2 linked regions of the Schizosaccharomyces pombe genome follow. Changing the gene in region 1 together with any one later gene gives a genetic interaction. Each region holds a gene or a part of one and is shown on either strand. Other genes may lie near its edges. The genes, in order: SPOM_SPAC688.12C and jmj2.

Region 1 (3,054 bases):
GTTAAGCGCATCAATTGCCATTACCGAGGCTATTGCCAGATTAATTAAAGCAGCAACTGCTTCACAGGCAGAGATTGTTGCTCAAGGAAGAGGTTCCAGTTCACGTGGTGCATTTTATAAAAAACATAACCGCTGGACGGAAGGCCTTATATCAGCTGCGAAAGCCGTTGCGCGTGCTACAACTACTTTAATCGAAACTGCTGATGGAGTCGTAAACGGTACATCTAGTTTTGAGCATTTGATTGTCGCATGTAATGGTGTTAGCGCCGCAACTGCACAATTGGTTGCAGCCTCTCGTGTAAAAGCAAATTTCGCCTCTAAGGTTCAAGATCATCTTGAGGATGCTGCGAAAGCTGTTACGGAGGCCTGTAAGGCATTGGTTCGTCAAGTGGAGTCTGTTGCTCTCAAAGCTAAAGAGGTGCAGCATGAAGACTTCTCTTCATTGGGTGTTCATGAATATCGTCGTAAAGAAATTGAGCAACAGGTGCAAATTTTGAAGTTGGAAAATGATTTAGTCGCTGCCCGACGTCGTCTTTTTGATATGAGAAAAACATCTTATCATGTTGCCGAAGAGTAATTAAGTCTTTTCGATCCTTTTTATTTTTATGAATTAATTTTGGAAAGCCTTAAATACTCAGCTATTAGTGCTTCTATTTTTGCTAGGTCGATACGGGATGATAAATACATTGCGTTCTTTTCCGACCAATAGGCAGTATTAGTATATTTAAATTTTAAATGTAAATAAATACCATTACATATTGTGACACTTGTAGATCCTACTGATATACTAATGATCAAAGCAGAATGGCTAACCTACCGCACTATATCTCTTAAAGTAAAACAAACATAATCCAGATTTATTTTTCTACAACTTTTTCTTTTTCCTCCTCTCGGTTTTTTTCTCTTTCTTTTGCTCCTTCTTTTGTTCTTTCTTTTCTCGTTGTTCTTTTAAGCGCTGTTTTCTTTCAGCCAGTAGAGCCTCATCTTCAGGATTTGCGCAAGCAACTTCGAATAGTTTCCATGAAAGAATTAAACCTAGACCAGTCGCGCCAAAAACATAAAGATCTAAAGTAATCAATGTGGTCTGAACAAGTATGAATGTGATTATCATCTTAATGATGATCTCACGGCCTGACACATTGCTACGAACTTCTTTACGAATACCCAAAGGAAACCATCGAATTTTACCAGGGGGTCCAAATGAAATATGATAATTCCGTTTCGTGGGATTGTTAGAAGGACCCTTGGGCTTATAAATGTGAATTAAATTGATAAATGCTCCAATAAGGAAAATAGCTAGTCCAATTTTGTTATTCTTCGGATTCGAGAAAGTCTTTGTCAATTGATACGGAGATTCTTCTTCACTCATTGTAATTTATTTTCTATTATAGGAGATATAAAAGAAGAACCGTTCGTTCCAAATTAATTTGATCAAAGTATGGTGAATGAAACCGTCGGGGTGGAGGTTAGGAAAAATGTGGTACTACAGACAAAAAATAGAATAATTTGCCTCTCCCATAAACAGATATTCAAGATGTATTTTATCGTATGTTCTCAAATTACCTAGACGCTAACACTAATAAATAAATTTGAAAATATTATTGGTAAGGTGGTCACATGGAGGAACTAGTCAACGAAATAGGTATCTGCCCTTGAGCTTGCAGTAGACTAATTAAATTGAAGACGACTGTAATATTCAAGTTTTATCTTTATGTCATCAAGTAATTACCAAACAATGGGGAAACGAATGAAGTTGTTGAATTTCATTAGCATACACATGTTTTCGTCAACTCCAACGTTACTCTCCCTATCCCAACTATTTAAAGTACGGTGGGCAGAGAGCATTCTGTTAACTACAAATATCATTATGGAATCTATCATTGACGCTCATTGCCATCCAACTGATGCACCGCAAGAATTACATTTGGTTGCTAATCTTTCTGTTGGTAAATTAATAGTAATGGGAACCCGGCCGACAGATCAAAAGTATGTCGAACAACTTGCGAAAGAATACCCTGGTAAAGTAATACCTAGTTTTGGGATACATCCATGGTTTTCTTATTATTTGTACGATGATTTGGATAAAGATTTGCAAAGTAGTGAAACGAGAAAAAAGAAGCATTACGAAAAAATATTGACTCCAATACCTGATGAAGATTTTATCAATGCTCTTCCCAACCCAGTCCCGATTTCAGAATTTTTGGAGGACGCTCGTCGACATCTTAAACAGTACCCAAACGCTCTCATTGGCGAAATCGGCTTGGATAAGCCATTTCGATTGCCAGTTGGCCCATATGATGCAAGGTCCTCACTTCCTCAAGGACCTCTATCACCATTTTACGTAAAAATGGAACATCAATGTAAAGTGTTTGAAGCACAAGTGCGTCTTGCTGCAGAATTCCAACGTGCTGTTAGTGTTCACTGCGTTCAGACGTATGCTCTTTTGTATAGCAGTTTAGCTAAATTTTGGGATGGTCGCTGGATTCCTTCCAAAACGAAAATACGAAAGATGAAGAAAGAAGAGTACGAAAATTCTCTTGCTGAAGAACGAAAGCATTACCCTCCCAAAATTTGCCTTCATAGCTACTCTGGTAGCATTGAGCAAATTTCTCAGTTTTCAGCCCATAAAGTTCCGACCGAGTTTTACTACTCTTTTTCAATAGGTATAAATAGTCGTTATAAAAATTTTATTCAAACACTTAAAGGCGTTCCCGACGATAAGCTATTGGCAGAGAGTGATCATCACAGTGCTAGCCAAATCGATGAATTAGTTCGACAATCTTTGAACGTTATGTCAGAAGCTAAGTCCTGGACTTTTGAGGATACTATTACAAAAATTTCAAGTAACTCTAAAGCATTTTTGAAAGTAACTTGAACGCATGCACTACGGTTTATTGACAAATTAGAGTTACCTGCACAATCACCTTAAATAAGTGCATAAGAGATTACTGGCTATTCCCATTGGAATTGGTAACCTTTAGGTTCGTTTTTTATCTGTTTCGTTTACTAAATCCCGAAACTTGACTGAACTAGTGTGGAAATGCTTGCGTTTGC
Region 2 (3,937 bases), 1.3 Mb from region 1:
ATTGCCAATTTTCGGCATCCTCCATTAATTCACGATAAAGTATTTCCTTTAAATCATAGCGTCCTCGTATCATGATACGTATACCTAATTCACGTTTGACAGCCTCATGCACCCAAGGCCTTAGCTCAGACACACTTATCTCTGACGCCGGATTTGTCGCTAAATTGTAAACCAACATATCATGTGAAAGTACAGGAGGTTTAAGAAGTGACTGATATTTCAAAACGCCATTCAAAGAGAATCCGTTTAGTAACCAATCTTTGGGAGCAAAATTCACTGCCTCATTAATGTTAAACCCATGATTAATTCCTGCGTGAAAGCTTTTTGGAAAGGTAATCACGAATTCATTAGGCCCCTGGTCGATGAAATAAACATCGACACCTCTTTTTTGTAGCTCATCAGGGTTGATCATTGTAGCTAATTGGTAAAGCAGATCTTTTTGTTTTTTTACCAAATCAGGAGCAATATCAAGAGCGGCGCGTTCAAACCTCTCGGCTTGATCACCTGGAATTCCATACCATAATTTTGTGTCTCCATAATGTTGATAATTTACGGAATAAGTATAGTTATCCTCGACATGCCAACAAAAAGTTGAAAAACACATTCCAACGTACAGCCACGGACAGGTTATACCTGAAACAGGATTATCTATATAGCTTAATAGAGAACCATTTGTGGATGCTATAACATTTAAATTCCATGTGTCCTTAGAGTAAGGATTCACTGGATTTTTGGCTAAACTAGGGAAGGCGCTGCCCTGATCAAGGGTTGATAAATCTGCACCGTATTCCACTTCAAGGCTTGTATTATTGTCTTTTACGAGTTTCCAATACTCTTTTTCAACAATATCCTCAGTTATCTCCGAGTCTTTAAATTTAGAAAAATAATTTTTCTTAAAATTGTCACAGTATTTTTCAAAGTTCGATAAAGTATAATAATTCCCTGTTTCAAACCCAAACTCATATGGATTAATTATACATTTAGTACAATACGCTTCTTTACACGTATCTTCGACTTCACAATTGACAGGTTTGTGACAATTGTCACATAAGTGGTTGTTATTCGTTGACAGAGAGCTCAATCGTCGCTTTTTATTATGTGAGTGATTATCATTTGATCCAAAATTATCGGCTGGCATATATTGTTGTTTAATCTGCTCATTTCTCTTGGATTCTTGGTTTTGAAGAATTCCTACGGACTCATTAGTTTCGGGGTTAAATTGTTTAGATGTCTTCTGATCTTTAATACTAATATTAGAATGTTCGTCTTTTGTAAAAAATTTAGGGAAGAGATCAGTTTCAAAGCATTGATCCTCAGAGGTCTGATATTTTCTGACGAAATCCTCAAATGGAAAAATATACCTTAAATACAAGTCACTTGCTTCCTTTAATGATGCATTAGTAAAAGGAATTGAAAGTTCTCGTAAAATCCTTTTCCATACATGAACTTTTAATTCCTTCTCACTTAGAGATGCATGAGAATCAATACAACGCATTAAGCTGTATAAGTCGATAGACGTATTGGAAATAAAAAATGATTCCGGGAGCTCCATGCCCAGATTGCAAAAAAAACGGTAAACGCGTTCATCGTAAGAGACTATTTCACGAAATCGAAGATCCATCATATGCAAATCCTGCCGCCGAGTACGGAAGGAAAACTTGTTCATGTCAAGTTGCATCGGTGGATTCCAACCAGCAGGAGGAACGATTTTTATGATACCATATTTTTCACCGATTGGAGCTATCTTATTAATATAACCGATAGAGTCCTGAAATTCCTCTTTATCAGGATAAAAAACGGGAGCAACTGGAAGTCCATGAATGGATTTGGAACGCTGTTTTCTTTGTCCGGTATTTTTTGACATAGAGGATAAGTTATTTCCCCGCGTATTCATCCCATGAGGTGCAGGTTTTAGTTTATCTGTAGCATGAGTGTATTGTACAAAAGATGGGGAAGTTTGATGAAAAGTAGACTTGCTCATGTTTCCTATGCAAATAAGTAGATAAATTAGTCCGAATGGTGAGCGATTCCAGAAAAAAAAAGTTATTATAAAAAGAATTAAAAAATAGAGAATAAAAAAGAAACGAAACGTAAATGAGAAATAATAAATGGAAACAACAGTTTTTAAACTCGGACTTAGATGAAGTAAGTTTTTTATGTTTATGCAATGTATACTTGTTCAATTGTCCATTGAAAAGACGTAAGTGTCTTTATGGGATATAAATAAAGAAATTAGGTAAAATTCGAAAATAATCTTAGGCTAATAGCATAAATAGGCATTAAATTAATATTCGTAACGTATGGTTAAGTGAAGGTTGTGACAACTTCAGTTGACGATTTTGAGAGCTAAAGGAACGATCATTAAATTATAAAGGATAGAAAAAGGAAAGGTATTTTTCACAATTAGCATAGAATTTACAATCGGAACAACGCCATATCAGCACCAAAGCATTTCAAGGTAATTCACCGTTTAGAAAAGAAAGCGTGGATGGCAGAGGCTGTAGATACACTGAACGTATTCTGTGATCAACATATAAAGGTTCCATCACGTTCAAATGAATGACAGGTTCAGAAACGTAACTTTTGCTAATAATGGTGGTTAGTACTTGCCTTGGTAAATGATAAGATAAACTATCAATGCAATATTTAGTAAATTTAATAAATACCTTCTGGAAACAGCTACTTGCTCCGCAATCCACCAAGGAGAACGACATTGAACTGATTTGTAATTTGGCAAGCGGACGTGCTTTCTTAGATGCATTGAAAATGCATAATCAAAATTTTCATAACCTTCTGCTAAAAATTTCGCTTCTCCGTTGTGTAATTCTATCTTTAGTAAGAACAACTGAACCATAAATCATTCGACAACAAACAAGTGCACATCAAACCTTTAAAACTTACGCCATAAAGCAATTAATGCAGAAGGTACGGTTTCATCAAAAAAGGCGCACTTTCCTTGAAACATTGACAGGCAAACTGTTGTAGGTAGTTGGTTTGTTTACAATTGCGCGCGACGCGTTTCGAAAAAGAAACACAATAAAAGATATTCAAGAATACTAACCAATACTTTCTTTCTATTTTTTAATACACAATAAGAAGCCGATTTGATGAATTGAAAGGAAAACGATCAAATTAGTTTTATAGGAATTAACATTAGAACAATATACCAGTTCTAATAATTTACTTTGCAAAAAAAAGGATTCTTTATTTTTTAATTTTAAAAAATGTAAGATGTAAATTGATATCGTATTTTTTGGTAAACGGGAAATAACCTAAAGACATTGAAATGACCGCTTTAAAACGAAACTACAAGATCCAGGATCTTTCAATCATAAAAAATTAATTTTCCTCTTTCCAGTTCAAGGTTTCAAAGGTATAACATATCATGCTTCAATTTTTTAGAGCGTTAAGTATTGGGTATGAGTTTAAAAGTTGCCGGGAAGTTTATCAGCAAGAGCCTTTAGGTTCTCGCCGGTGACTCTCATCATACTCCATCCTCCAACTTTTTGTGCTCCAGCCTTTTCATAGACTTCAATGGCTCTCTGGTTCCAATCAAGGACCTAGGGTATTAGTCAAGGTATAAAAAAAGAAATGGGTTATAAACAACTTACAACCCAGTCAAGACGTCTGCCACCAATTCTAAGTGATTCTCGTGCTAAATAAGACAGTAAGTAGCTTCCATATCCTTTTCCACGGAATTGGGGTCGAACATATAAGTCCTCCTAAGAAATTGAATGGTTAAAATCTTGCTATGAAATCAAAAGTTAATCCTTCAATAAAAAGGTTATGAAGGACAATATGATAAGAACATACTAAATAAATCCCCACTCTGCTAGTCCACGTGCTATTCAACGTCAGCTCATATATTTCAAAACGGAACTTTTCACTACCTAAAATTTAGGAAATATATAGCCATTCCTGCGGGCTGATGGCAATT

What was found.
Region 2: mutations in SPOM_SPAC688.12C (region 1) and jmj2 together harm fitness more than expected from each alone (negative genetic interaction), as found in Schizosaccharomyces pombe (one large-scale study listed by BioGRID).

Annotation. Positions count from the first base shown.
Region 1 is NC_003424.3:3,137,857-3,140,910, forward strand, and holds SPOM_SPAC688.12C (uncharacterized protein), read right to left. Parts: upstream 1,469-3,054; 5' UTR 1,370-1,468; coding exon 866-1,369; 3' UTR 818-865; downstream 1-817. Other genes in the region: clathrin adaptor End4, read left to right, coding at 1-577; scn3 (TatD DNase family Scn1), read left to right, coding at 1,868-2,875.
Region 2 is NC_003424.3:1,804,817-1,808,753, forward strand, and holds the start of jmj2 (histone demethylase Jmj2), read right to left. Parts: upstream 1,982-3,937; coding exon 1-1,981. Other genes in the region: bouquet formation protein Bqt2, read right to left, coding at 2,454-2,586, 2,667-2,826, 2,902-2,965; SPOM_SPAC1002.07C (N-acetyltransferase Ats1), read right to left, coding at 3,426-3,560, 3,612-3,722, 3,814-3,844, 3,891-3,925.